Alligator mississippiensis: one gene and its partners. The main gene of each other region encodes a partner of the protein of the gene in region 3 in a complex. Links are inferred from orthologs where the notes say so. Each region holds a gene or a part of one and is shown on either strand. Other genes may lie near its edges. The genes, in order: CCDC153, FBXL13, DRC7 and IQCD.

Region 1 (7,320 bases), on a different chromosome or scaffold from region 3:
GTTTAAATCTGCACTTGAAAGATTGCATTGAAATAAACACGTTGTAAACGCTGCGTTTTAAATCAAGGCTATTTCAACCACGCGTTTAAATCCATGATTGAAACATCGCATTTTAAACCAGCACAAAATAAATAGTATATGTAAGTATGAACAGTTTAAATGCCACATTTAAATCAGGGCTATTTAAGCCATGCATTTAACTCCGCGATTGAAATAGTGCATTGAAATAAGAATGATTTAAATATCTCATTTAAATCAGGACTGCTGAAACAATGCTTTTAAACCCACAATTGAAATAGTGCATTTAAATCAGTGCAATTGAAAAACTGCATTTAAATCGGGGCTATTTAAACTGTGCATTTAAATCTGCAATTTTAATATAGCATTTACATCATTGCCAGTTTTAAGTATTGCTTTTTAAAATGTATTTTAAATCTGGCTGGATTTAAATGCACGTGAAATATTGACCGGTTGCCATTTGTGCAGTTGCAGAGTCCCCATGAGGGGGATCCCTGGACCTTCCCAATGAGCTGTGTCCCGATTGCTTTGGGGTGGGAAGAGGAGGGACTCACCCGGGGGTTCATGCCTTCCCCCCTCCAGTCTCTGACTTGAAGGAGATGAAATAAATCCCTGCCCAAGAGCATGAAAGCCGAGACCAGCTAGGATCAGCCCCGAAGCTGCTGGTTTCCATGAACTCCCAGGAAGGGTCCCCAGGCCTGTGCTTACAGTGCGACAAGTGTCTGCGGCATTGGAGGATAAATCCTCTTTTTCTCAGAAACCGGCAGCAAGGTGAAATCTCTCGCTCTACAGCAAAGCCAGTTTGCCACAGACAACGAGCAGGAGACTGAGACTGTCAGTGCATCTGCCATACTGTGCAATGGCAGATACACCCACTGCAAAAGTCATCTCCCCAAATTAAGCTCCCAGACAGCCTGTGAAGGCCCCTAATGAAGGGCTGTGCAGGAGCCCCCGGGGGTGTGGGAATATGGGTCCAAGCTAAGAGCTGGGCTGGAACAGCACTGCAGCACTGGGGAAATTCAACACGCGGGGAGCTGCTGGCCACGGCACGCATCCCGGGGTAGTTTCTCATCCGCTGGGTGCACAGGTGGGATGTTCATATAGGAATGAGGTTAGTGAGGCCCTTGGGCTTGTCTGTTTTGGCACTGAGGAGGATTTTGACCGTGTGGCTTCTCACACAGCGCAGTCTGCCCATAGACCCCAGATTGCCCCATCAGAAAGCGAGTTGGAGAGCTGATTAAACGGCATCTATGTGAAGACCATGAAATGGGAAGAAGGTTAAGCCCCCAAATGTAAATTTGCAGTTGTACAAAATGGATTTAAATAAAGAGGATATTTTTAACTGTGATTTTTACCACCCGGGCCCTCTCCTGCCTGTTGCAAGGGGGGAAATGGCTGAGCATAATGCATGCTCCATCCCAGCAAAATCCTCCATGCCCAGTTCCTGCTGCAGTGAAGCCCCATTGGCACGGAGGGCTGCTGCCAGTGCCCAGAGCCCTCCAAGACAGGAGGTGCAGGGGACATGCAGACCAAGGACCTCAAGGCAAACATCTGCCCAATTGTTCCACTGGGTCCTTCACATGCATGCCAATCTGTCAGGAGCCTAGTTTCCAGGCTGAGCATCCATTCATTTGCCACCTGTGCATGTATTTCAAAGGGGCTCCTGCCAAGACCTGAGGGAAGAGGTTTGTTTGCAATTATAGTGGTGGGGGGAAGACTCGGTCCCAGATCAAAACACCCTCACACTTTTTGGCACATCAACAAATGATGGTAAAACTGGTTTAGAAGCAAGTGGAGGATTTGTTCGAGCTTTTTATTTAGCATTACTATCAATGGACCCTACTCAAAGTGACGTACATGTAGGAGGGATATGTGAAGTCGACAAAAATAACCAATGTCTTTTGTTTAAAACATCTCAAATATATATGTGTGTGTGTGTGTGTGTATCTATATCTATCTATATATTTTTTTTTTTGAGAGGAGGTATTTTCCCTTTTTTTTTTTCTTTCTTGAAAAACAGTTCAGGGAAAGCAAAACAAATCAGGGCAACATCCCCATTGAGCCAAATCACCACTTTTTAACACAAAAGGATTCATCAGAGAGATTTCTGCCTGTTCACACCGAATGCCCCAGTATAAAACCCGGCTGCTGCTGGTTTGGCAATCCCCTGCGTGCTCCGGTTCCTCTATGAAGGCAACAGAGCTAGCACTCAAGAAGGGATTTGCTGCTTCTTCAACCCAGCTCCTTGACCGCGGTTGCTTCATTAGTAGCCTCCCATCCCTCCCCCAGGGTTGCTCAGCTGCGAGCAGATTATTGTACAGATGTTGCAAAACAGGAGCAGTTCCCTATTTTGAAAAGCCAGGTTCCTTTTTCTATGCATCAAAAATTTCCAATTAAAAAAAAATCCGGAAGTGGAGCCAGGCCGATGGCATTATCCTCCAGGGGCCGAGCGCACTGGGACTGACAGAGCTCGCTTGGCTTTGGAAAACTGTTGACTGAAGAAGGCATCTTCCATCATGGCACAGATCCTGTGCCTTCAGGCCTTGGGCTTGCTGGTGTGGTCCTCCCTCTCCTCATCCAGTTGGGTGGGGCATTCAGGGGAATTCTTCACAACACTTTCTGCCTGCCCTGGCCCTGACCTGATGCGGGGTAGGTACTTAGTCAGGCTGTCCTTAGCTGGGGAACAGGACTGCCCTGGCCAGAAAGAGTCGTGGGAGCATGTCTCCACTGCCCCAGCATGGGACATGTAGTTAAGCTCTCCTGAGAGGCAGGCTTTGCATAAAATCAGCGACCAAGACCCACAGAGAGGACCTGCTGCTTCCCGCAGAGCCATAGTGGGGTACTATAATCATGCCTTGCAAGAGCCTTTCCTGCTTGGTGCATGGGGCTGGACCTGACGATCTCCCAAGGTCCCTTCTGGCCTTACAGTTGATGAATCTATGAATCAGTGTGCTCCTGAAGCCTGAGGAAGTGCCAAGAGGGCAGCAAAGACACAGCGCCAGGAGACATTAGCAGCAACAGATGAGTCTGGGGTCTCATCTCACACACCCTTTCTCCCCATGTGGAGCCCCATCTGCCTTCATGCAGCTCCTCTTCTGTCCGGGAGAAAACCTGCTTGCTCCACGCAGCCCAGCACGGAGCTCCGAGCCTGCCATCCATCTCCCTCCAAATGCTGCAGCCAACAGCGAGGACGGCCAGCTAATAAAGCAGCTCAAGAACAATGTGCAGGAGCTTGTCGGTGTCCCTCGGGGTGTTTTGGTTGACAACGGTGCCAAAAGCAAAAGCCCTGCTGTAATTCATCTCTCTGCTTCCCCTGTTCCCTTCCCCCTCCATCAGGGGTGGCCTGAGCCTGCAAAACCACAGTACTGCGCACGCTAGAGGGAGATTGTGGAAGGAGAAAGGTGAAGAGCAGAGCTGTGGTGCCGTTGCCTTGGAGGAGGTTGAGTCACAAAATCCAGATCTAGACCCCTAGATTGAGATGTATGTATTTTTTAGTCCCGATCTGTTCTCATGCACGCAAAGCTCCCGGTGATTCGCTCACACACACGGGGCCTGCAACCAGTGCAAGCAGCCAGGCTCCTACACCAGCCAGGGGTCTGGCTCAAGTCGTCACCTAGGTGCTCCATGGAGTCCCACCCTCATCTGACACATGGGGAAACTGAGGCACAGAGGGAGAGCAGTCCACATAGGAGGGGAGGCAAAGCACATGCTCCCATCTCTGCCCTAAACAAGGCAGATTGCAGTGTGGGGAGGCGCCATCCACCTGGGAAAGAGCAGGTTGAAGACATCCCGACAGGTTTCAGGAAAAGGCGAAGGGAATCGGTCACACAGCAGGGCTCTGCATGACTGGCCCCACAGCCTGACCTCCCCAAGGGCAGGAGCAAGGCCTCCGTGGAGAAAACGTGACACACATAGAAAGCACGAGTCCACGTGCTTGCATGCGTGTGTGCACATGTGTATCTGAGCCTGGGAGCTGTTTCTGTGTGCATGTGTGTCACCCTCTGCCGCTCTGCATGTGTACGCGGGTCTCAGAGCAGGCGTGCGGCTGTGGGCTGCTCTCCCAACCCGTCTGACCCTGGCCCAGCTGCTGTGCTGCGATGCTGGGAGATGTCACAGCCTTCCCCCTTCCAGCATCTTGGATGCAAAGGACGTGGGATCTGCCAAGTCCTGCGCCTGCCTCAGACCCTGCAGCCCAGCCCCTGGCTGCCAAGCTTCCCCGGTCGCTATAGCAGCCAGCAGCCTGCTGCCTAGCAATGCAAAGCTGCCGGCTTTTCCCAGGCTGGGATAGGCTCCCCGACACCAGCCTGCTGTGCCTTCCCAGCTGATTGGCTTTCCCCACGCCATTCATGCCAGGCCAGTTACATTTCCTGCTGGAAATCTGCAGCCTCGCACGCAAGAAGCCCTTCACTTCCAGGTACTTGAGGTTTGGGGGAGATTCATTGGAAACGATCATCTACAAGCCTCTTCCCCTTGCAGAGCTGTTGCAGCATGTGGCTGGTTTTTGTGCGGCAAATGGAGAGGAATAGCAGAAGAACAGGAGGCTGGGAGGGATTGGGGGGGGCTATGGGCTGGGCAGGGGACATTGGGAGTCAGGATTTGTGGGGGGAGGGCTTGGGTTGATTTGGTTTGTTGGGTTCGCCGCCTTTGTTTTCTGTGCCTCAGTTTCCCCAGCTGTGGCATGGGCCCAGCAATCTCTGGGGGAGGTGTTGCCTGTTAGAGGGATGATGTGAGTGATGGATGGTGCGCTTTCCCCAGTGCCCCATGGCAGAGGACTGCTGGGGGTCTTGGTTACCTTCCGTGCTGCCCTGGGACGGTACAGCCCAGCTGCAAGCGTGGTCTGCCTCCGTTCCCTCCATGCCTGCAGCCCGTGCAGGAAATGCCAGGCTGAAGTGGCCTTCCCATCCGGCCTCTCCTCCATGCAGCATCACCTAGAAGCTCTGGGGGAGCCTCAATACCCCTTGCCCGTTTCTCCTCACAGACAAACCAGGAGCATGGCCCCCAAGGCCAAGGGCAAGGGGAAGAAAGGAGGGAGACAGAAGAAGAAGCAGCCTGCAGCAGGTGAGCGGGAATCCCATGCATGGGCAGAAACCTTCCCCAGGTCCTGCCCCCCAGGCTGCAGGGATGCACCATGTCCCTTCTCAGCTTCCCCCATCCCAAAGCAGCCCAGCCCCTCCTGGCTGATGAGAGGCAGCAGGCAGCTGGAGCCAGGGGCCAGGACAAGCTGCCGACCACCCTGTAGGAGCCCCGTGCCTCCCACTGGGGTGTAACCAGCATAAGCAGGGAAACCCAGTGCTGGGGGTATATGGGACACAGGCACCAGCACGTCCTGCTTGAAGCCAGTGCCATGTTCCCCATTTCCCAGGTGTGGTGTGGGTACAGAGCAGTTTTGAGATTAGCCCTGGACTGGCCCCGATAGGGCTGGGGGAGACCCCAGCTTCACATGGAAGCTATAGGAAAGCCAAGGCTTCTGGATCAGAGCCCTGGGGGACCCTGAACCCCTGCCCCACACACTTGAGCTTCCCCAGCCCAGGGAGGAGGTGTCCAATGCCCAACGATGCTCCGTCTTGCATGCGTGATTGTGCTCTGTCTATGCAGCAGGCGAAGCTGAGGAGTCCCGGAAGACAGCTCTGGAGGTGGACACCCTCAGGAGGCACCTGGGTAAGCCCCTGGCCTGGGTGGGCAGTGGGGACATGAGCCCTGCCAGGTGACAGGAGGGGCAGACTGTGGGCAGGGTGGTACAGACATCTCCCCATCTAGGACCATTGCCATGCACTGACCCGCAGCTGAGATGTGCCGCTGCGAGGTGGTGGAAGCCCTGGGGCACAGCAAGCCCAGGATGGTTGCAGGGATCCCCTCTGGCCACAGAGCTGGTGAACGCCTGCAGGAATTGGCCCAGGAGCAAGGAGCTGGGGCCAGGGCTGGGGCCAGGGACTCTCACAACCACAGCAGTTCCCTGCACCACTGGGAGCACTACTGGTCCCATGGTCGCCCAGCTGAGGGTCTTCACTGACACACACTGCAGCCCCGTAGGGTCCAAGCCAGCACCCACCCCCACGCCAGGAGGGGCCCGTGGCTGCGGTCCCCAGACCTGGGCTCCTGGCAGCTGTGCCGGGGTAATGCTGCCAGCTTCTGGCCAGGGTCAGCCGACAAGAAGAGAGCACAGGGCAGGGTCCTAACCTGCCTGTCACTTCCAGTGCTCCGGAGGGATGTGGCCAGGCAGGCGAAGGCGGACAGCGAGGGGCTGCAGCTGCGGCTGCAGGAGCTGGAGCAGGAGCTGGAGACAGCACGGGAGGACAAGAGGGACATTTATGAAGGTGGGTCAGAGCTGGTAGGCGTGCAGGGGACGCTGGGCTGGGTGCAGCAGGCTGGGAGCAGTGCCATGGGTTGCCCCATATTTCCTTTGGCTCCATTCCATGCAGGGCCCTGCAAGACGAGCAGTTCTGCCATCATCATGCCACCCTAGGCTACCCCCAGCCACCCCCACCTAGCTACAGAGCCCCCCATCCCTCCCTGCCCTGCAGAACTGCTCTAGCTCTGCCCGCCATGGGGTTTCACAGGCCCTGGGAGCTGGGGATGGTGTGCCACAGGCTTCCTGGGTGGCCACGGGCAAGTCCCTTAGTGGCCTGTGCACCCGGTGTATAAGTGACACAGCCAGGGACTTGACTCTGGCAGCCGGGCTCAGCCCTGTTCTCCCCGCAGAGATGATCCGGCAGTACCAGGAGCTGCAGCGGCAGACAGAGACTCGCATCCAGTGCCTGGAGGCCGAGGTGACACAGCTCCAGGAGCAGCTCGGTACAAATCCCCCCTCTCCCTGCCATGGTGGGCTCTTCTCCCTAGCAGCACCACCTTGCTAGGCATTGCCAGAGATGTCAGACTAGACCCTGTGCCCGATGTCCCAGCATGATCCATGGGCATCGATACTCCAGCTCATTCCAGTTCCCACAGTCTCCCCCACTCCAGCCACCCCTTACCTCCTGCAGCTGCTCAGCCCCCAGCCCTGCTCCTTCTCACCCCCATCCCCCTGCAGCCGTGTGCCGCCAGCAGAGCCAGCAGGCCCGGGAGGAGAGTGAGCGGACGCTGGGCGAGAAGGACCGGAGCCTCACCGAGCTGCAGGCCAAGATCGACACCATGAAGACTGAGTACGAGCAGATCCTGCACGTGAGTCACCCCGCAGGGCGGTGGCAATGAGATTGGACCCCCCAGGTGCCGGCAGAAAGGGCAGGGAAGCTCATGGAGTTCCCTGCTGCCTCCTGCTCCCAGACATGGGGAGAGGAGGGTGGTGACCTGCAGGCACAGAAGCTA
Region 2 (7,346 bases), on a different chromosome or scaffold from region 3:
TTTCAAAAAAAGTATATTCAAACCCATTGCCAAGGGTCTTAAAAAACCAGTGGGTTACAGGACAGATGTACAGCAGTACGTATAGAGAGGCAAACAGCTCTTTGCTCGGAGACAGACAAATCGAAGTGACTCCGGATTCAGTCGCTGCGCTGGAGCCTGCGCTCCGGGATCGTCCCGGCAGAGAAGAGGCGCGGAGCTTCCATGCACCAAACGCCGCGTGCCCGGAACCGGAGCTGGGCTGCGGGAAAAGCCTGGAGCCGGAGCGGCGCCCGCCTGCCCGCCCGCCCCTGCCACCCCCCCGGCCCGGGCCGGGCCTCACCCGAGCGCCGCTCGCACGCACCGCCCCGGCCGGAGGTGCCCCTGGGGGCCGCGGCCGCCCCGCCGCTCCTGGCTAGCCGGGCCAGGCCATAGCAGGCGCCGGCTCCGAGCACCAGCGCCGCCAGCCCCGCGCGCCAGCCCAGCGCGCCGCTCTCCCCCATGCGCGGCCGCGGGAGCCGATCGGCCCCGGCCCGGCCCGACCCCGGGACACGTGCGGCGCCGCCGGAAACCGAGCCCGGGCGCCGCCTCCCCGGCCCGCGCGGGAGGGCTTTGCTATTCCGGGGCCTGTGAGCGGCACCAAGGGGCTGTGTTCAAGCAGCCGCTGCCGTGTTAGAGATCCCGTGCGCGGGGCAGCCCCCCGGCCGGCCGCCCTGGGCTCTGAAGTGCTGCAAAGAGCAACCGGGGTCTCCACCAGAGGCAGCTGAACGCCAGCACCGCCCCCGCCGAACGGGGACTCCGTGAAGCCCCCCTGTGCTCCCAGCAAGCTGCGGTGGTCTCAAGTTGCAGCAAGGGAAGCTGGAGCTAGATATTAGGAGAAACTTTCTCACTAGGAGGATAGTAAAACACTGGGACAGGTTATCCAGGCAAGTTGGCCACTCCCCCTCCTTGGAGGTTTTTAAGACCAGGGTGAACAAAGCCTTGGCTGGGATGGTGTAGTTGGGGCTGGTCCTGCTTGGAGCAGGGGTCGGACTAGATGTGACCCCCTGAGGTCTCTTCCTACCCTCATTTTCTATGATTCTGTGACACAAAATAATGGCTATTTTGATAAAAAAAAGATTTTGTGAAAGTAATCAGCTCCTGTCATTCCTTATGCCAGTTCCCTGCCCCTGTTTATCCCTGACATCTGTCAGCAGAGGGAGGTCCTTGCCTGTGCTTACCTTGAATGCACCGGGCTGCAGCCCCTCCACCACCTCCTCACGGCACTCCTCCTGAGGCTTTACCTGCACATCTCTCTGCACCTTTCACGCGCTCCCTGCCTGGGGCCTTCTGGTCAATCTTCTGGCTCCTTCCTGGGCTGGTAGATGGCCAAACTTGCCATCTACCAGCCCAGGAGGAGATTCTGGCCAGGAGGAATCCAAGCACTGGAGCCATTTTCCTGTCACTCTGCACATCTCTGGGCAGAGTTTCACTGACTGGCATCCACAGTCTCCTTGGAATCGTTCAAGGGGCAATGGGCACTGGCAGGAGTTCTTTGCTTGGTGTCTCCACTCAATTCCCTTCATATGAAACTGACCATCCCAGTCACACCCATTCTAATTTTTGTTGTTCCAAGTACTCAATTGTTATGTATCTAGTGGCCTCCCCAACTGAGGGATGCTCATAGCTCTTTTAGCTGGCCTAGGTGCACTGTTCTCTATGTACATAAAAATAGGCCGCTACCTCTGCTTAGCACAAATGCTTCACTATTTTCTGCAGACAAGCTTCTTTGGGCAAAGGTGATATCTTTTATTAGACCAACTAAATCATTGGAAAAATTGTTCTTTACAAGCTTTCGGGCCCAAACCCTCTTCTTTAGGCATAGGGAGAGTCTGCTGTTTGTGTGCTCTCCAGGGTGGAATAGAAGCTTGAGCCAATATGCAGGACTATGAAAATGCAAATCTGTGGTAGCAAAGATCAAAGGGGATGCCAGTTCATAGGTGCAAGACAGGTGGGGAGGGGGAGGGGTGTGTGGAAAGGAGGAATGTTAACTTGGGGACAGAATGTAGCTGATAAAAATGTAGAGAGGTTACCTGGAGTTATCAGATGGCAGGCAGGTTATATATATATGACTTAGTCCATGATTTTTTGTATCCAGTAGATTTATGAAGTGAAGTTCCTAGGCTCATCTATGAAAGGTGTTCTACAAATTCCCTTTGAGGATTAGAACTGAGAAATTGGAGAAAAAGTGGTTGTCTTTTGAGAAAAGTGACCCCACAGGTAACTGGGTATTTCTGTCTTTGATAGATTTTCGGTGTGCGTTGATTCTGGTACACAGTTGTTGTTTGGTCTCTCCTACGTATTTTCATCAGGGCAGTCAGTGCATTGGATGAGATGTTTTATGTTTCTGGAGGTGCAGGGGTAAGATCCAGGAATGGTGATGGTTCTGTTGTGGGGTGTAGTTATTGTGGGAGGGCTGGAGATGCATTGGCAGGTTTTACATTTCTTGTCTAGGCATGGTCTGGATCCATTTGGTGTGCTTTGGGCCATAGACGTTTGCTTCAGGTGATGAGGTTGGTGAGGTTCGATGTCTGTTTAAAGGCTAGGATGGGTGGTTCTGGAAATATCTTTTTAAGAGTTGGGTCTTCTTCTGGTATGGGTTGCAATTGTTAGAGGATTTTCCATATCCCCATCCATGGAAGGATGGTATGCAGGGGCAACATGTAGGGGGTGCATGCGGGTGCATGTGCACCCCCTGTGCATGGTGGTGCACCCCCAGGTGATCCATGATCACCCCTGGCCACTGCCAACACTGCCGGCGGTGCCTGTGGGTGGTCATCAACCCATGGCTGGCACTCGCCACCCCCTTCCCCCCGACAGTGCTGGTGGCATCAGTGGGAGCTCCCTGCTCACCGCCGCCACACTCCCACATCTGCCAGCGCAGCTGTACCCCTTCAGCCACCAGGGGCACACACTGTTCATGTTGGTATGTCATAACTAACGGTGTGTGGCTATATGCAACTATAACCAACACCCCTGAAACATGGAAAATATCACTATTTTTTTACACAAAACCCATGACATCCAACAGCTAACAGGGAGCAAGAAGAGGGAGGAGGTAAACACACTGTTTATTTTACGGATTTCCTCCCCTTCCTCCTGTATTTAATTGTTGTACCCTTACATAAATACCTAGCAAAACAGTGGGCAAGAAAGATGCAAGAGAAGAGAGTTTTAATAAGTGAAGTGGCTAGATGCATGCTTTTAAAGGAATCTAGTTCTTTTGGAAAATATGTATATAAACACACAGTCAAGGGACTTTAAAAAATCTCTTAAGGACACATTTACAATATGCTAAAGATACAGATCGTAAATCTTTCTCTTGACTTATAATCACAGTGACGTGTTAAAGTACTCTGATTTTTTTTCAGGTGGGTTTTACTGATGACATTTTTAAAAGTGTTGGAGAAAGTGGCACGATCTACATCTGTGAACTCTTCATGTGCAGTCCAACCATCTCCTCATTAGGTTGTAAACACTGTGGGACCATCTTTTTGTGTTGCATTTGTACAGTGCCCAGCATAGTCAGGTTCTGGTCAGTCAGCAGGACTCCTAGATGCAAAAATAGATAAATTAAAAAAAATTACAATGAAATCAATATTATATTAATTTCTCAAAGTAGGGCTTATTAATAACAACATCTACTTCCATACGGTAACAGGGCAGGCAACGGTTTGTCACAAGCATATTGCAATCAGATCAAAAACATTCCACGAGCAGTTGCTTGTTTGTTTGTTTTGTGCTTGTCCATTTTGTGAAAAATAAGGAAAATAAATAATTTAAAAAAGTATATAGCATATGAACAAATCAGATCCTACCCCTTTGCATTATGGATGGTGCTTAGCAAGTATTAGTGAATCCTCCCTGTATCCCTATTAGCTTGACAGTCCGTCTCCATTTTACAGATGGGAAAACAGAGACATTAGACTTTATGGCCAGATCCTGAGGAGGTCAACAAATACATCCTCCCGTGAGCAAAGGTCGCCCAAGGTCACAGGAGTCCAGGACGGAGCCCAGAGGAGGCTCCCGCTTTCTTTCCTTCTCAGCGTTTGTGAAAGGCTGCAGCACCCACGTCTCCGGGCACCCAGGCCCCGCCCGCTCCTGCACGTCATCCCTTCTGCCCAGGGGCCACCAGAGATGGGCGGTTTGCCACGCGACTCCGCTGTGCCCGCGGGGCAATCGCCGCCGGCTCCCCTCGCTCAGGGGACGCAGGCGGCGAAGGGAGGGAGCGGCGCGCGCACAGCCCCGGGGGGCGGGGCCCGAGGGACAGGGCGGGGCGGGCGGGGGCTGCAGCGTGCGGCGGGGCGCGTTGCCGGGCAACGGGCGGCCGCGGTGAGGGCCCGGCCCGGCCCGACCCGGCCATGTCGTCCCTGCGCGGCGCCGACCCCGCGCTCCGCGGGTACTTCCAGCGCCACGGGCTGCCCGACGTCTACGAGGTACGGCCCGGCGGGGGTACCCCGCTCCAGGGCGGGGGTGGCCCCGGCCCGGCCCGGCCCGGCCCGGCCCGGCCCCTGTCTCCGCCTCAGCGAGTCCAGGGGCCTCTGCCCGGGCCGGGAGTCCTGCCTTGCTCACACGCAAGCGCTGGCCTGGCCTGGGGCGGCAGAGGCCAACCCCCGAGCATCCCCGCCGGGCCCGGGGTGTCACGCTCACCTGTCTGCGCGGGGGGCGCGAGCAGGAGTCGCCACCTCTCGTACAGTTGCAGCCGCGTATTTAGTAGATGTCCCAGACATTAGGGCCAGAAGGGACTTTGCGACATTGTCGGGCCCAACCCCCCGCCTAAAGGGCGGGAAGTCAGCTGGTGTCACCCCGCTGCCAAATTTTTGGCGAGCGGGATGACAGGATGCTGCCGGCCCGCGCCTCGGACATCCCTGCACTAAGCCCCATTGGTAGTCAAGCTGTGCCCGAGGGTGAGCAGTGCCGGCCCCTATACAACCCTGACTTGAAACTTGCTATAAAACTGCCGTCAACCTGGACACAAGACCTTGCATCCTACCTTGCCTGAAGTAAAGCAGGGGGACCACGGCAGCCAGCATCCTGCTTCTGTCAGGCTGAGTACAGACTTCTGTGGAGGTTAAATCGGGTTCAAAATGGCCACCCGATTTAACCTGGGCTCGTCCCGGTGCCGGCCTGGTGACTGGCAATCAGCGTGAACTGAGACTGCACACAAACCAGTCTAACAACTGCAGAGCCTGGTTTACGATAAGCCTGGATCTACGTAGTATCAAACTTGTTCGATTTAGGTCAAACCAGCGCATGGAACTTGTGTACGCTTTCCCTGCACGGCCCGGGCCTGCGGGCCCCCAGCCCTGGGGCTCCTCTTTTCACACCCCTCCCCCCCTGCACTTGCACTGGGCTATTTTTTGTCCTCCTGGCCCCTTGTTTCCCACCTCACCCACTAGCCATTCCTTTCAACCCCCATCCCACAGCCGCGCCAGGTATAGCTGCTTTTAGCAGTGTTTCCTGCTTTCAGAGCCAAGCAAGTAAGTCTTGGTGTGGGGGGAGGGGATGAAGGGTTGGAGGTGTAGGTTCGCTGGGGGGAATCAGGGGACTAAAAGCCCAATCCCCCTAAATCCCCCTATGAACCCCGCTGGGCAGTAGGGAGGACTGAAATTGGCCGTCAGCGGCGTCTGTGGGCTGTCGCTGCTCACCAACTGCTGCCGGCTTCTGTGGGCAGTTGTTGCTCATCAATCGCTCCCCCTCACCACCACTGCCGCCAGCAGCATCTGCAACTGGTCCCCACTCGATGCTCGCCATCCCCCTTCCGCCGACACTGCCGCTGGCATCTGCGGGCACTCCCTGCTTGCCGCTTGCTGCCGACTACAAATGGTTCCCCCCCAGTTTCAGGAGGCACCAGTCGTTCATGGACCCCACAACCTCCCTGATCTCTCCAGACACTTCCGGACCCTAGCAAAACCCTGTGGCTTGTGCCTGACTGCTCCCTACCCACGAGTCATGCCCTGGCCTCTCACCCCTTGAGGGTTGCACCTGTCCCCTCCACCTCACCTGCAGCTTGTGCCTGCCCCCTCCACCCCTCATGGGTTTCACCTCCCCCCCATTCCCCAGTGGACTCCTGATCCTCCTGAACCCCCGTTGGCCCCCCATCCTGACTTACCCGATATCAGGCAGTCATTTTGAACTGATTTAACTTCCCCGAACGTCTGTACTTAGCCTAAAAGATTGTTACTGGACACTCAAAAGATACCAGGAAGAGGCCCTACCTCCCCTGCCGCCACTAGAGGAAGGTAAAACTTCCCACAGTTGGTACCAAGGTGTCTATGGGTTAAAATTCCTTCCTGACCCCAATTATGGTGATTAACCTGACCCTGAGTACAAAACAGAGAAGATTGCAGCCTCCTTTGTCTTAAATGGTAGAAAAGTTGTTTTTGGAAACTTCAGGTGGAAGACTATAGCGTGCAGGGTAGCAGAGCACTCTCCTCAAGTTGCAGTACTGCATGTTGTAATTGCCATATGGCCAATAATTATATCAAATAATTATAATATCAATAATTATATCAAAGATGACTATGGCAAATTTTAGAATATGCTAGGCCATATGTTGGTCACCCACAGTGTCAAAAGGGGTTTGAAGACTTGTTAAACTGCTGAGCTAGTGAGTAGAATTGCATGCCATAGTGCTAAGGAGCATAGGGGAGACATGGCTTACTTGAAGTCACAAGTGTTCCAGGGATAATAAAATAAATACACACTTTTGGCTTTTGGATTGTTATCTGATCCTCCCATCCTTTCTCTTCTCTCAGCCAGTTTTTTCCTTTTGAAGTTCAGTTGAAACTATGCAGAAGTCGTATATCAGTTTCCTTAATAGTAACAAATTAGGACACTGTGTACAAATAAACTGCCAAAAATAGACCCAACTTGTAGCCAGTTATTGCAGCCTGGATTTCCATGGGAACATTAATAAAGAGGTTTTAAACCAGTAAAAATAACTGTAGAGCAGCACCTCCCTCAACAGTGGTAAAGCATCAGGGGTGCACGTACACCCCCTGGGAGCGCTGGTGCACCCCCTGACTGACTGCGCTCCACACTTAGGCAATGGGCAGGGTGGGCACCGGTGCCCCACCCATGAGCGCTGGCCAGAGAGTGAGCGCACTGGGTGTAGTGCTGCGGTCGCTTCCAGGAGCACCATGGCCGCTTCCCGGTGGATGAGTTCTGCTGCGGGGGGACTGCCCCCACCCCCCAGTCAGCAAGATTGGCCATGCGAGGACCCCTTCCCCCGGTTGCTGACTGGTTGCTGGTGGGGGCACGTGCCCCCCGTGATTAAGGTGACACCAATCTCCCATGTCCCCCAGTCCTCCTAAGCTTTACTTGGTGAT
Region 3 (7,859 bases):
CGAGTGCATTTATATGATTTCTGTAAATCTGATCCAATGGGGAACATATAAGAAATGCAGCATAAGTTCTCATTTCTCTCTCTCACACACACATATATACACACGTGCACCCTGCTTACTGTATGTTTGGAATATGGACTTGGATCTTTGACAACTTCTCCTCTAGGTCTTGGAGTTCATCACCGATCTTAAAGGCTTTTTTCTCTTCCTCTTTCTCCTCTGCCTCATTCTCCCTCAGGGCCTCCATTTTGTCCCCTCAAGGGCTCCTAGGTGAAAAACACTTGCCAGAGTGAGACTGGGAGAGTGGAACTGGGTGCTACAGAAACACTGTTATACTTTGCTTGAAGATGTGTTTTGGATGAGAAGAGCTGATTTATCTCAGAGTGGGATTCTTGGGAAAACCTGATGCTGGGTATGAATTTAATCACACAGTGGATGCTGACTGCAAAGGAGTAAGATATATGGCTGGGAAATGAGTAAGCAAGAAGCCTATTGCTGATTTGATTGATTAAGCTCATTGGAACTGCTAGACTGGATTAGACTTGTGTGATACCTATAGTCCAATAATCTGTCGCTAGAAATGTTCATCACCAGCTGCTTGAAGGAAGAAAAGCCTGCAGTAAGCAGAGACAGAATAAAACTCCCAACAGGGAATTTCTTCTTGATCTTCATTAGTTGTAGCTTGGTTTGTACCGCAAAGCCTGAGGGTTTGGTCTCTTTAAGAATATATGAACGTTTCGGGCTTTATGATGAAAGTTCTGGATGTTCCCATTTTTCCATGTAAATATCCTATATATTTCTTTTTTAAATTCTGTTAAGCAGTAGGCCAAAGTGCTGGAGTCCCATGATCATTTAATAGAATAACAGAATTATAAGGCTTGAAGGAACTACAACGGTTATCTAGTCCAACCTCCTGAACAGGCAGAGGATTCACTATCCTTAAACCATCCCAGAAAGAGGCTTAGGCTTAGGCTCTCCAAAGAAGGAGATTTCACAGCTTCCCTGTACAACTTGTTCCATTATTCTACTGCTCGAACAGTTTGGAAATTTTCCCTGAGATTTGTTCTACACTTATTTTGGGGAAGTTTAGACCCATTGCCATGTGTCCTGCCCTTTGTGGTCAGGGGAAAACAATGTGTCTCCACAGGACGTCTTTCAAACAGTTGAAAACTACTAGCATGTCCCTCCTTGGCCTCCTTTTTTCCAAACCAAACATACCTACTTCCTTCCACCTGTTCTCATACAGCTCACTTTCCAATCTCTTCAGTCCTGTCTAATGTGCTGTTTTGCAGTTGTGTGACTCTTGCGTTAAGTTTGTGCAGAGGGCTCTGAGACCTCTGTGTAAGTGTTCTTCAGTAGAGAATTTTTACATGGAAATAATAGCAGAGAAGCATAAGTATCTCCAAGGACTGTTTCTCTAGGTCAAACTGACCCCAAGTGTGTTTTGGGCTGTGGGGGAGATAGCAAGCGAAAATGAAGACACACACCTCTTTATCAGGCAATGTTTAGCTTGGCAGTATGAAAGGTATGTGGGGAAAGCAGAAGGGTGAGGGCATTTACTGAACTAAGCTAGAAATGTCCAGAAGGATAGAAAGGAAGAAGGGATTTCACACTGCATGTTCTATCTGGGCCATTCCCCTGAGTTCTGCTTCTTCCTGACCTGGCCTTTGGACTCTGCTTTGACCAGACCCACCTGAGTGGAGCTTCTCGCCGGAGTGCACCAGCTCATCTCATCATTGACAACCCTATGGCTGTACATCTCTGGGTACTATTCCATATCTGTAAATCTGTTTCTCTATGTATGTGTTCAGCTTTTCTGGGTCTCCCCTATTTCCCACCTTGCTCCATCTTTGTTTCTATTCATTGCATTTATTAGTTGCATTGCTGAGCCTCTGCTGGGGAACAGGGCTGTGGGCAGTAGCAGGGCTAAAGTGAAAGGGAAATAGTGAGGAACAACCCCCTCCTCTGTCTAGTGTTATGTAGCAGCACTCTCTCCTGCAGGTCCCCTCCTTTGGCTGGTGCAGTGAGAGCTCCCCCTTCTGATTCTATCTCCTGGAACCACTGTCCTGCGCCAACGCATAACTACTCCTTCTGCATTCAGCCGAGGTATGGCCACAGGGGTGTTGCAGATCAAGACCAAAGCTAGGTCAAGCCCCACCCCCTCCCCCAGTCATAGATGATCCCAGTTCTATCTCCTTCTATCTCCCAGGCACTCCTCCAGTGTCTGGCTTCCAGCCCCTCCTTGCCTCACCCCCACCTTTCAAGATGATCCTTCCCTGCCCTGAATACTCCCTCCCCTGTTGTTGTAGTCTAAAAGTCTGGTTTTCTGATTTACAGTTCAGTTTCCCCAAGACTCATGTTGTCTGATAGGGATAGCTCACAGCTGTCTCATCTTTCCGCAGCACAGAGACCCGCTCCCTGCCCTGGGAAGGCTGCACCAGATCTCTTAGCTTGGTCTTCCTTGCTTAGACAGATAAATTCACCTCTGAATATAACTGCTCCCTTGGAGCTCGTATGTGGGCTGAATTTGCCCTGTGCATCAGTCACAGCCTTTCCCAATGCCCTGTGGTGCTCCACATCTCTGCCCAAACGGCTCCCTGCCCCTCCACCAGTGCCCTTCCCCTCCACCGTGGCCCCAACCAATAGACGCTTCCTTCCTCCACAGTCCTGGGGGTCCCCTGCTCCTTCCCATAAGGACACCCACCCCCTTCTTCTCTCCCGGGTTTGGCATAGCCCTTGTCTCCCACTTACACACCTCCACCACCCCAGACTCCATCTCCTGGTGCCTCCTGGGTGCAATTACTGAGCGATTGTCTCTGAGACACCCCCAACCCGGGTGGTAAGCATCAATCCCCCAACAACCAAATCCCTCTCCCTGCAACCCTCCCCCTATCCCAGGCAGGAGCCCCAGGAACAGCCTCACCAGCTTCTCCTGTGCTCCCAGCCTGTTGCTCTCCTTCACCATGGCAACTGTAGTGTCTGGGCTGAGGCTTCTGGGAGTTGTAGTCTCAGTGTTTCTAGTAGTTCCCTGTAAGAGAAAGGAGCCTGACTGGTGGCTTAAGAAAGAGCTGGTGTTTTTCCCATGTAAATCTGCTGCAGAGTATTCATAGATTCATAGATGTTAGGGTCGGAAGGGACCTCAATAGATCGAGTCCGACCCCCTGCATAGGCTTAAAATGGAAAGAAAATTTAAAATCCAGGCCTAAATATTCACAGGCTGGGCTTAGAGCAGGGCCACACTGCATCCTGTGCTGAACATGGTCCTTCATCTAATTTTCACCTCAGTGCTCTCTGTTTACCATTTGTAATTCATTCATCTTGGATTGAGAAATTAGTCCAGGGAGTTTCTCTCCTTCCTTCTACTCAGTTTCAGAATCAGGGTTTTCCTCATCACCTTTTGCCTTAACACACTGAAAAGAAACAATGAAAGGGGCAATGCATATTCACTACTCACATTTTAACATGGATGCATATACTTTATGGGGGGGGGAGGGGAGTCTGTTAATATTAATTTGGCAACTATTTTAAATAAAAAATGTTGAGTTATTTTTCTTTGCTGGTTTCTGAGCCTGTAGTGTGCACTTGTTTTACATTTTCAAGGTTTTTTTTTTCTTCTTGTGAATAACGGCTGAAATTCTTCTTCTGTCTTTTGATTCCAGCAATCTGAGTCTTGAATAATATTATGAACGTAGTGATAAATTCTGATGAGATTATGCTATCTTAAATAATTTTATTTGGTCTGTACTCCATAAACTGTTGGGTTTTATAAAACATTCAGAATCTTTTCATTAAGTGGTTTACCACTGTTTGAGGATTCCCTCAGAGAGCAAAGGTGTAGCGTATAGGAATAGAGTTGTATCTCTTGATATTGCTTGCGAGACTTTCAGTAGTACTTGCTATGTTTTACATTTTACAAACCACCGAAAACCATTCAGAGTAGAAGTATGTATGTAGTCAAACTTTGCATATATTTGCATTGGTAGTAGATTTATTTGGTACCAGTCCATGCCAATGTTGTATCTTCCTAGTCTTGCTACTGGGATCTGTCTTACCAAAACAAACAAAAAAGAATCATGAAGGGGAGAGTGCAAAGACTTCTCTTCATTGACTTCTCTGTGTTATGTCAGGGTCCCTGACCAGTGAGCTAGAAGGAAAGATGTTCATGGGTTGAGATCTTGATGAGTACTTCTCCATTGCCACAATTAAAGGATTGATGCAATCACTGGGGAAGTTTGAGGTGGGGGATGGGGAAGGATCAGCTGTTGAAAGATGATATAAAGAGGCCAGCTGGGTGAAGGGAAACAGAAAAGCGGGCAGTTGTATGCAAGCGAGGTTATAATATCCTGACAATGGTGAGTAAATTGAAAGCTAATGACATTAATATCTCTGTATTATTATTGCTGAAGTGGTGGATTTTTCTTCCTAGGATGTAGCTTCCAAGAAGACAACTCCGTCTTTCTCTTTCGTCATTAAAGCAATTGGCAGGATTTCCTAAATCCTGGTCTCCCCTCATATAAAGGGTCCTGATTCCCCACTGTTTTACTCCTTTTCTAGTTTTTTACACCTAGGCAAGGTGTATGCAAAGAGCTAGAACAGTAGTATTTCACAGGTGCCTGGCACTGATATCAGTGCTTTCATAATGTAACCAGCAGTGGGGAATCAAGTTCAAGGAATGCAGCTGGTTTCTACTTCTTCTGCTAGTCTCTATCAAGACTGGTCTAATTCAGAGCTGTAGGAGTAATGCACTAATAATTGGAGTGTCTCTATACAGTGCTCCATCCATTTATCTATTGTAGTGCCTCTATACAGAGCAAAGTGCAGGGCTTCATAAAGTGAGTGGATGTTAACACTCCTCACTTCCTAGATGGGGAAGTGAGACACAGAAATAAATGACTTGCCCACAGTCTACTGGAGGTGCTAGAATAGAACCTACTTTTCCAGTTTTGAAGCCCTGGAAAAAAGTTTAGCTCAGAGTATACAAATGCTGCTAAATGAGAACAGGAGCTTTTTGCTTTCATGTAAATGACTGCATGAAGCACAGGGCAATGGAGAATCCATCTGATGCCCTCTCCAGGAGCTCATGCTAATGTGGAATAAGATCTCAAATACAGGATTCAGGTTTACAGTGCTCATGTGTGCCAACCCATCTAACTCTTTAAGCAAGGAACTACCCCTGGCATCTGGCTTGATTGCTGTGAGCAAGCATAAGCTTTGAAGAGGAGAAAGTAGCCTTGTACTTTATTGCTTTGTGACATAAATTTAAACCATGTTCATAGCTTTTATTATGCAATCCCTCTTGCCTTAGACTTGTGGAAGGAATTGTAGGAGGAAAAAGATCTCCTTGTAACTTAAACTTACTTATATTTCATTAAAAGATAAAAGTGGACCCTGTACGGAGGAACAACCCTTTCCTTCCTCTCTTGTGAGTGTTTACTAAAGCCTTTGTTGTGTGATTTTGATCAGAGGCTGAGGTCTAAGGGGAGGAGGTCAGTTCCTTGTCATCTGGGTTTATTTTTATCTGTTTCCTGATCTTTCAAGCCCTGAGTCAGTGGAATGGCCCTGGTTGGCTAAGCTCTAAAGTGCTTTTCTGAAAAACAAAATTTGTTCCTGCACTTTGTCTTCAGTAGGATGGGTGATGGGAATGAGGTTTTGCTGATCATGCCTGGAGGGTAGGCATTGACTTGGTGGCCTTCAAATGGAAGAAATAGCATTAGAAGTAGAAGAAATAACATATGAAATGTACAAAAATACAACAGGGTGATGGGGAGACCACATGGGGAGTTAATGACATAGTTTGCTAGAGTAAAAGATGTCTTCCAAAATCTGGGTAAGCTAAGCTTGCAAGACAAAAATAGCTGCATATGTTGAATTAATTAACTCATGAGTGACTGGTGCCTCCTGAATCGGGGGGGCACCCGCAGAAGCTACTGACGGTGGTGGCCCTGTCAGGGGGGCACCAGCACAGCTGACAGTGTCAGTGTCAGCCGTCGGGGGGGGGGGGCACCGGCCCCCTGTACACTCCCTACCAGTTGCCTATGAATTAACTCTAAAGCAGTGATTCTTAACCAGGGTGCCACAACACCCTGGGGTGCCTTAAGATCCTTTCAATAGTGCTGTGGAGTGCCATACAATATTAGCACTGTTAGATGTGCAAATACTTACACATGGTTCAAAAAATAAACCCAGAGATTTCAAATAGGAATCTATAGTGGCAAAACCATTCTAACCTGTTGTGAGCTTTGCAAGTTCTTTGCAGCAGAATTGCTCTATTATTTTCCCATAATAATAATTTTAAAAGGAATGAAAGCTAAGAGCTGCCATTTTCAGAGAGATACCTTGAGACCAACGAGGGGTAGTGAAAAAAGTGGAGAACCATAACTGTAAAGGAAAGTGTGCTTCCTGCCTTCTAGACAGATCAAGTATGTCATCTCATCATGCTATGAGAGGATTCTTTATAACTGACTATCAGCATCTCCACAGATAACTGATGAGCATGCTAGAAATCCAAACAAACTGAAACCTGCTTGTTTTTTCAGGGAGCGACTGTGACATTCTGGATGCTGATGTCTGCCCTCTGGCTGGCTGGCAGTGAGAGCTACCATAGTGAGTCTCTTTAAATGACGTCTTGAGGGACAAATCCAGATAAAATATGAAAAAGGAGGGTGAAATCCTAATTTGAAAGGATTGATTTCAGGAAGGGAGGAAACAGGAGGAAAAACACACAGAAATACAGCTGTTACGCTAAAGCTTTGAGAGCACAGTGAAATCATTCTCTCCTCCTGGCAGTAGGAAGCCTACTACCTGCCAACCCAGTGGTGACAGTTCTTCAGAGGCTGCAAAATCATCACATTCACCCTGTCTCTGAGCAAAGCAAGTTAACTCATAGGAGCACCATGCTAGCGCAGCTGGATAGTTCCCAATACTAGAGTTAGTGCATTGAGCTCTACACTGGTCCATGCAACATGCAACATGAATGTAATTTGAGATTAGATGTTCAGGGTTTCAGCTCAAACAAGGGAAGATGGAGGCTTTCTTGGCGGGTGCTCAAGAGTGACTGTATCTTTAATTTCTGATGCCTCAGCAGAGGTCAGTCATTGACATAAAGATTGTTTGGGAATCTAAATGGTGACTTTAAATAAGAGAGACTCTGTTTTTGCTTTAAATAAATGTCCCACCCCCTGCTGAGCAGAGCCTTAACTCAAACCTGGGCATGAGTTGACTGGAGCTTGCTCCACTATTACAAGTAGTCATTCTTTTAAACACATGCATCTTCCCTCTGATGTAGCTGATTTGAAGAAGCTACATGGCAGAATGGGAGAAGCTGTCCTTCGTCCCAAAAGAAGTCCACGTGTCTGCTGGCCCAATCCATGTAAGCACCAAGGAGAATGTCAGAGAGTTGAGGAGAAATCACCCTGCATCTGCAAGCCGGGCTTCACTGGGCCATTCTGTCAAGGTAGGCCTAGGGAGATAGACCGGAGGGTGGATGTGACGCTGGGCTCTGCATCAGCCTACTCACAGGCACTGAACCAAAGTCTGAAGGCAGGGTAGAGAGGCACTATATAGACTGATTGAATCAGCGATGCATAAGTTTTTGTGAGTAAGAGCTCACTCCTTTACATTCCATTACATGTCTCCATCAACTACTATGAGGAAAAGACTTGCTGAATTAGGAGCAGCTACTTACAGTGTTATGGGGCAGGTATTTGATATGATGCTGATATCTTTTCCAATGGCGGTGAAGGCTTCATGTGATATCTGTGCTTGTAATAAAAGTATTGCCTTCTACAGTAAATGAGGGAAAATAATTTCTTCCTTTCCACAAGAAAATGTGGGTGTCTGCCAATCCTGGAGAGGGGAAA
Region 4 (7,279 bases), about 12 Mb from region 3:
GTGATATCTTTTATTAGACCAAGTAAATAGTTGGAAAAATTGTTCTTTACAAGCTTTTGGGCACAAACACCCTTCTTCAGGCACAGGGAGAGTCTGCTGGTGTTTGTGTACTCTCCTGGGTACAACAGAAGCTTAAGCCGATATGCAAAATGCAGGTCTGTGAAAATGCAAATGCGTGGCTGGAAAGATTAGAGGGATGGGAGTTAACAGGTGTAAGACAGGTATGGGGTGTGGGGAATGTTGACCTGGTGACAGACTATAGCTGGTAAAATGTAGAGGTTACCTGGGGTTATCGGATGTCATGCAGGTTATAATGTGCCATAAATCCAATGTCTATATTTAGCCTGCCATCTGATAACCCCAGGTAACTCTCTACATTTTACCAGCTATATTCTATCACCAGGGCAACATTCCCCTCTTCCCTGCCCCCTCCCCCTCCATACCTGTCTTGTACCTCTCAACTGCTATCCCTCTGATCTTCCCTGCCACACATTTGCATTTTCACAGACCTGCATTTTGCATATTGGCTTATGCTTCTATTCCACCCAGGAGAGTACACAAACACCAGCAGACCCTCCCTGTGCCTGAAGAAGGGTGTTTGTACCAAAAGCTTGTAAAGAACAATTTTTCCAACTATTTACTTGGTCTAATAAAAGATACCACATTTAGCCAAAGTACCTTGTCTGTCCGGGTATGACCAGTTTTTTTCCCACTGTTCCTCTCCCATTTGCAGACTCCAAAATTTAAGATCTAGGAAGTTCTTATTCAGAGGCTGTAACCCTGACTCTTGTGCTCGAGCTACTGATGCCCCTTTCCTCCAAGAATTTGTCCAGTCCCTTTTTGAATCTGGCTCAACTGTCAGCTTCCGCATATGGTGGCAATGAGTTCCACACTTTAATTACACACTGGGCATGTCTACATGTGCTTTTATGCACACCTAAACTGAATGTGCATTAGCTTAATACACATTAAGGTGATTTAGGTGCGTGTCTACACATGCATTTGCTAAGGCGCGTTAACGTGGGTGTGTGGACCGACTTGGGACTAAAGTTAGTCCCAAGTCAATAGGTACACACCGCATTAATGCGCATTAGCATGTCTTTGCGTTCGCTAATGCGACTTAGCTATTCATGTATAAATTTGATACCCACTTTATGCAGGTATCAAATTTAGGTTTGAATATCCCCACATCACCATTTTTAGGTGCGTTAAGGGGCGCACGTCTAGATGCGCCCCCTGAATGTGCCTTATATACTGCACATTAAATGCACATGTGTATATGTGCCCACTATGTGACAAAGAACTTCCTTTTGTTCATTTTCAACTTACTACTCTCTCATTTCATTTCGTGACCCTTAGTTCACATGTGGATGGTCTACATTTTTTGTGCGATTCAGCAGGAAATTGTATTATATAACATATACCAGGGGCCTTGTAAGCTCCAGCAACCTCCCCTTTATGAGAGGCAATGGGTGGATTAGCTTTGTGGTTAACCAGTTTCCTGGCAGTGCCCCGGTGTGCTGCTAGCCAGTTCTCCCAGGTTTGTTTTCCTGATTGGAAAAAAATGACCTGTACAGATTTTCATAGAAGCAAAAAGCTTGCAGCGATGATGCTGGCAGCCAGGGGGCCCTAGAGCACGCAGTCCAGGAGAGAAGTTAGCTGGCTTTTTTTCCTTAAGTGAAGGGATCGGCAGGGTCAGGAAAAAGTAGGGGCAGGGACTTTATGCCCTGCATAGAAGAGTCCTTCAGCCTCCCCTGCCACCCTCCCCTTAGCCAAGAAAATCTGCTTCTATGCTTGCCTGCATTCAAGTGCTGCAGTTCAATTCAGGCAGAGAACAAGCCAGGAGCACAACATGCCTCCCAAGTGCTTCATGGCTGGGCTTGTTCAGCCTGAAGCACTCAGGGGGCGTGTTCTGCCCCCTGCTTGGTTGGGAGGGGGACGGAAAAGCAGCAAAGCACACTGGCTGCCCGTACATAAGTGCCGTCTCCTGGGAGCCATTTCCCTCGGGCTGTCCCCAAGTTATTCCTGTCCCAGAGCAGCCACTTTTACTCTGGGGAAAAGAAAAAAAAAAGAATTACAAACTTGTGTACACTCCTGGTAGAGAACAGAGACTCTCCCTGGAGAAACTGAACATCAGTCCCTTAACAGAGGCCGGCCCAGGTCAAGCAGCAAGTCTGCGGCATCTAGGGCCCTGGGACAGCAGCCTCGGCGCTGCGCCGTTTATCGTCCAGCCCCGAGCGCTCGCGGGGCCGGAAGCAAAGCACCCTGGGACGGTGGAGGCCCCCCAGAGACGCTCTGCAGGGAGCTATTTTGCTCCTGAGGGGCCGTTTCCCCCGGGGCAGAGGCAGGGAGGTCTGTGCCGTCCACTCCTCTGCCCGAGCCTGAGCCCGAGCCCGAGCCGGCCCCGCACCTCCTCGTCGCGCCTGTGGAGGGCGGCGGCCAGATCCGCGCGCAGGACCGCCACGGCCTCGGTGTTGCGCTGGTCCCGCAGCGACACGTCGGCCGCCAGCCGCGCGCGGGCCTCCTCCTCCCGCGGGCCGGTCAGCAGCCGCTCCAGCAGGAAGCCGCGGAACTCGGTCAGGGCCCGCACGAACAGCTCGTCCGTGAGGTCGCGGGCGTACACCTCGTCGCGCACGGCCTGGGCGGCGCCGGGCTGCGCCTGCAGCAGCCGCGTGATGCAGCGCCCCGAGCGCTGCAGGCTCCGGCCGGGGCCGCCCGCGCGGCGCAGCGCGTCGTGCTCCGCCAGGGCGCGGCTGAGCGTGGGCCCGAGCGCGCGGGACAGGTCGCGCAGGTTGGCGATCACGTGCGGCAGGAGGCTGACGTGCTCCGCGCGCGCGATGGTCTGGTCCAGCACCGCGATCACGCGCCGCGTCTCCATGGTGCCCCGCCGCGGCCCGGCCTCCGCCTTTGCCTCCGCCTCCGCGGCGGCCTCCGGCATCTGCCCGCGCTGCCGCCGCACCGCGGCCGCCATGGGCGTCGCTGGGTTGCTAGGGGACGGCGCGCCCAACGGCTCGCCTCGTTCTTCACCGGGAGGCGGGACCGGACTCCCTAGGCAATGGGAGACGCCGGCTTCTTATGATGAGCGCGACCTGCAGCCAATGGAAGGCCAATACGGGATGGGGGGGCGGAGGAACCCAGATTGACCACCTCCGGGAGCAGAGAAGATGCCGCACGGGGATTGGCGAGCCGGCAGTCGCCGAGAGCCTATCAGCCAGCGGCTTGCGGGCATCAGCCAATGGGTGTTGCAGGGGGGCGGGCTGGGGCAGGCTGAGGCTAGGCGCCGGGCGGAGAGGGGCCGGGCGGGGGCCATGCGCGGGGCGCGAGGCGGCGGCGGCGGGCGCAAGGCGCCCCCTGGGCTCACGTGAGCGCGGGGGCCCCCTGGCGGCGGGCGGCCGCTCCGCGCCTGCCTCGACATGCCCCGGGCGGCGGTGGCGGTGGCGGCAGCCTGCGCGGGCGGCGCTCGGGGCCCGCAGCGCTGAGCGCGGCCGCGGGGGGCATGGCCGGCAGCCCGGACGACGACGTGCCCCTCATCCTCACCCTGGAGGACGGTGGCGGCCCCGCGGCCCCCAGCGCCGCGCCGGCCGGGGACGGGCCGCCCGACCACAGTAAGCTGCCGTCCCGTCCCGTCGCGTCGCGTCGCGTCGGGGGCGGGCGCGGGCGCACCTTGTGCCCCGGCCTCTGCGTGTGTGCAAGAGAGGGGCCGGGTGCCGCAGTCCGGAGCCCGGGGCTTGGAGATGGCGCTTTCCTGAGCGCGTTTGTGCGGAGTGGGGACCTCCTCGCAGGCGCCCGGCGGGGCGGCGGGTGGCGGAGTGCGGCGCCGCTTCCCGCGAGGAGGTGCTCGCGCGCGCGGCGCTGCCTGGCGTGACGAGTGGCGGTGCTGCGTCCGGGCGGGGCAGGCGGCTGACCATGAAGTTATCGGGAGACGTCGGTGTTGGTTTTCTGGAAGTGAAAGCGAGGGATGGGAACGGCGGCATTGCACACTCGGGGCACAGATGATTATATACCCATAGGGGGGTGTGTCCGTATGCGTGTATGCGCATGTCTGTAGGCATCCAGGTTGTAGCCCTATTAGTCTGGGGGAAAAGGCAATCAGGACTCATAGTAGAGATGATATCTTGTGTTGGACCAACAAGATTTTTGCAAAAAAAAATCTTTAATTGCAAGCTTGCGAGGTAATTTGCATCATCGCAGATCCTCACAGGAGGGGAGAGGCTCCAGACCAGCTATGAGCTGACTGCCCAGAGGAGTTTTCCATCTATTGACTCCTCTGTGAAATCCTATGAAATATGAACTTTCATTTCTACCCAGGAGAATGTCTACAATCTTTTCTCCAATGCCTGATGAAGGGTGTTTGTGGCTGAAAGCTTGCAGTTAAAGACACTTTTTTTGCCAAAATCTTGTTGGTCTAATAAAAGAGATCATTTCTCCTAGGAGTCCTGTGTGTTTATATGCACACGCACATTTCTGTATATATCATTGTGACCTGAGTCTGCAGTGTGTATGTGTATGCACACACGCACAAGTGGGGGGAGACCCACGGGGGGTGCACGGATGCAGTCGCAAATCCCTTTGATTCCTGTTCCCCACCCCCAAATTTAAAACTAGTTGCCTGAAAGTGGCAGCAGCATTTCTAGTGGCAGCAGTGCTGAGGGAGTCACTTGACTTCATGGCTAATTCATATCTACCCAAGTCCTTCTAATCTCTTGATTCCACAGATGTTAACGGACTCTTTCTTTTTTCTAATGGTCTTGATGTTCCACTAATTAAACTAGGTATCTAAGTTGTAGCCGTATTGCTCTAGAGCAGCAGTTCCCAACCTGTGGTACGTATACCACCACTGGTATTCCAACAGCCTGTCCGTGGTCTGCTTTAACAAATTTATTATAATTACTTTATATGACAAAAATGTTCTGGTGGTACTTAAGGTTGTATCATTTTTACACTGGTGATGTGCAATCTGTCAGTTTAGGAATCACTGCTGTAGAGGCAAAAAGATCAGAACTAATGGTAGAGGGGATATTCTTTATTAGATGTTTGCAAAAATGTCTTTATTTGTAAACTTTCAGCATACTTGTCACTTTTAGCACAAGCACCCTTCTTCAGGTATAGGAGAAAAGACTGTAAAAGTGCTTCTAGGTAGAAATAAAAGTTCATATTTCATAGGAGAGTTGAAGGTGTGGTAAAATCTCCTGTTTGAAACAGTTCATTTTATGTAGATTAGGCTCAGAGAAAAGTTGGAGTTGTCTGCTTACCTCCAAGTTTTGGCAAGTAGGATGTAGAGTCATATTTCCTTCTGACTTATGATGTTTCATATTTCACAGAAGAGTAAAAAGATGGCATGCTCTTCTGAGCAAGAATTTCTTTTGTGGTAAGCTGGGCTCTGTGATGATACAAATTATCTCAAACAATGGCAGGAGCAGGGTCTCAGGTTTCAGGTGGTAAAACTTCCTCCTTGTAAAATTATGAAGATTTAATTTTTAAAATAGGCTAAAATTCAATATCTTCCATGTGACAGGTATCCAGGTTGTAGCTGTATTGGTCTAGAGGCAAAAGGAATCAGAACGCGTGGTAGAGGTGATATCTTTTATTAGACCAACTAGATGCTTGCAGAAAAAGTTCTTTATTTGCAAGCTAATTGAGCTAGCCTTCCTTCTGCAATTCTGCTGTCTGTTAGCTGCTTCTGGTAATGTAATATGTTTTTCTGCTTAGATATCATTCAGAGTATTAATATTAGTCCCCCAGCATTCTGTGACTTTACTGGATAATTTGGGTGGTCAAATTTGGTGATTTGATGTATAAACCTCTCTGTTCTGTTGTGTGTCTTTTACAGTAATGCCAGCTCTCGTAAAATTATCGCGAGAGTTGCAATGTCTAAGTAAAATTAAGTTCGACTCATGATCTTGCATCTCAAGTCTCACCTCAAACTCTCAAGTCTCTGGATTTTTCCTTCTGGCGTATCTCATGCCTAACCAGGTCGAAATTGGCTGCAAAGTCTCTGGGAGCGCGGGTGGGGCCTAGCTGCATGGGGGTGCAGGGAGCCCTGCCAGCTCAGCACCAATCCTGGGGCTGCAAAGAGTGGGCGGCTGCTCAGGGCGTGATTCAATTTGGTGCAGATTTGGCGGCCAAATCCCCAAATCTGAATCAAATCGGAGGACCCTTTAATTTCTCTGAATCGAATCGGAACCCTCTGAATTGATTTGGAGAGGTTCAGCGATTTGGACATAGACACAGCTTTAAATGTTTTTTCTACATACCTCTAGGTAGCAGGCAGTTCATCAGTGTTGCAATACTGGGGCACATGGAGGGTCCCACAGGAGTGCAGGAGGGGCTCCCCAGCTCACTCGGCAGCAGACCTGGAAGTGGACCAGAAGCACTTCTGGTTGACCTCTGGGTCTGCCGGAGAGCATGCTGGGGGGGGCCCCCCTCAGCTTGGCGATTGGTGACTCCTGGGTCTGGGGGAGCACCCGGGGTCCTTCTGTGGCCGATTGCCAAGCCAAGCGGGCATGGGGGGGCGGGGACAGCGCGCTTCCCAGCAGACCTGGAAGTGGACTGGAAGTGCTTCTGGTCCACTTCTGGGTTCACCGCCGAGCACGGGGAGGGGGGGCGTCATGCTCCTGTGGGAAACTCCATCTGCCTCGGCTCGCAGTGTTCACAAGCTGCACCTGGTACCTCAAGGTATGTAGAAAAAACATTTAAAGCTGATTTTGAAGATTCAATGCTAATTCCGAGATTTTGATTCAGTTGAATTGAATCGGGGATAGTGATCAGAATCAGCAAATCAAATCACTGTCCCCTATTTGGGCTGAATCCATATTGAATAGGGCCCATTTTGCACACCCCTAGTGCATGCCTCCTCTTAAAGACCCCAAAGGTAGGGGAGAACACCACCTCTCTTGGAAGCCCATTCCAGATTCTGGCAACCCTTACCATGAAGAAGTTCTTCCTGATGTCTAACCTAAATCTGCTCTCTGTCAGTTTGTGGCTGTTGTTTCTAGTTACTCCAAGGGGTGACCTGGTTAACAGAGCATCTCTTCCTTGTTGCCCCCCCCCCCCCCCGGAAGAATTTGTAGGTGGCCGCAAGATTACCTCTCAGCCTTCTCTTGCAGAAGCTGAAGAGATCCAGGGCCCTTAATCTTCAGGCCCCTAACCATACGAGTGGCCCTCCTCTGAACCCTCTTGAGGTTGTCTGCATCCCTCTTGAAGTGCGGCACCCGAAACTGGACGCGGTATTCCAACTACAGCCTGACCAATGCCGCATAAAGAGGAAGTATCACCTCCC

The links.
Region 1: DRC7 (region 3) and CCDC153 share a complex: the UniProt entries of both Homo sapiens proteins name them as parts of the nexin-dynein regulatory complex. The link is inferred for Alligator mississippiensis from reciprocal best matches to the Homo sapiens genes DRC7 and DRC12.
Region 2: DRC7 (region 3) and FBXL13 share a complex: the UniProt entries of both Homo sapiens proteins name them as parts of the nexin-dynein regulatory complex. The link is inferred for Alligator mississippiensis from reciprocal best matches to the Homo sapiens genes DRC7 and FBXL13.
Region 4: DRC7 (region 3) and IQCD share a complex: the UniProt entries of both Homo sapiens proteins name them as parts of the nexin-dynein regulatory complex. The link is inferred for Alligator mississippiensis from reciprocal best matches to the Homo sapiens genes DRC7 and DRC10.

What each region holds. Positions count from the first base shown.
Region 1 is NC_081839.1:31,191,865-31,199,184, forward strand, and holds the start of CCDC153 (coiled-coil domain-containing protein 153), read left to right. Parts: upstream 1-4,317; 5' UTR 4,318-4,364; coding exon 4,365-4,432; intron 4,433-4,996; coding exon 4,997-5,076; intron 5,077-5,613; coding exon 5,614-5,676; intron 5,677-6,212; coding exon 6,213-6,332; intron 6,333-6,717; coding exon 6,718-6,810; intron 6,811-7,045; coding exon 7,046-7,176; intron 7,177-7,320. UniProt on the Homo sapiens protein: Component of the nexin-dynein regulatory complex (N-DRC), a key regulator of ciliary/flagellar motility which maintains the alignment and integrity of the distal axoneme and regulates microtubule sliding in motile axonemes.
Region 2 is NC_081827.1:24,344,823-24,352,168, reverse strand, and holds the start of FBXL13 (F-box and leucine-rich repeat protein 13), read left to right. Parts: upstream 1-4,328; 5' UTR 4,329-4,376; coding exon 4,377-4,451; intron 4,452-7,346. Other genes in the region: ARMC10 (armadillo repeat-containing protein 10), read right to left, coding at 320-479. UniProt on the Homo sapiens protein: Substrate-recognition component of the SCF (SKP1-CUL1-F-box protein)-type E3 ubiquitin ligase complex.
Region 3 is NC_081833.1:38,303,375-38,311,233, reverse strand, and holds the start of DRC7 (dynein regulatory complex subunit 7), read right to left. Parts: upstream 3,015-7,859; 5' UTR 2,924-3,014; intron 2,107-2,923; exon of another isoform or gene 2,002-2,106; intron 1,766-2,001; coding exon of another isoform or gene 1,748-1,765; exon of another isoform or gene 1,542-1,747; intron 267-1,541; 5' UTR 248-266; coding exon 120-247; intron 1-119. Other genes in the region: uromodulin, read left to right, coding at 1,748-1,765, 6,537-6,603, 7,286-7,453. UniProt on the Homo sapiens protein: Component of the nexin-dynein regulatory complex (N-DRC) a key regulator of ciliary/flagellar motility which maintains the alignment and integrity of the distal axoneme and regulates microtubule sliding in motile axonemes.
Region 4 is NC_081833.1:26,028,032-26,035,310, reverse strand, and holds the start of IQCD (dynein regulatory complex protein 10), read right to left. Parts: upstream 3,015-7,279; 5' UTR 2,972-3,014; coding exon 2,411-2,971; intron 1-2,410. Other genes in the region: TPCN1 (two pore channel protein 1), read left to right, coding at 3,497-3,605. UniProt on the Homo sapiens protein: Component of the nexin-dynein regulatory complex (N-DRC), a key regulator of ciliary/flagellar motility which maintains the alignment and integrity of the distal axoneme and regulates microtubule sliding in motile axonemes.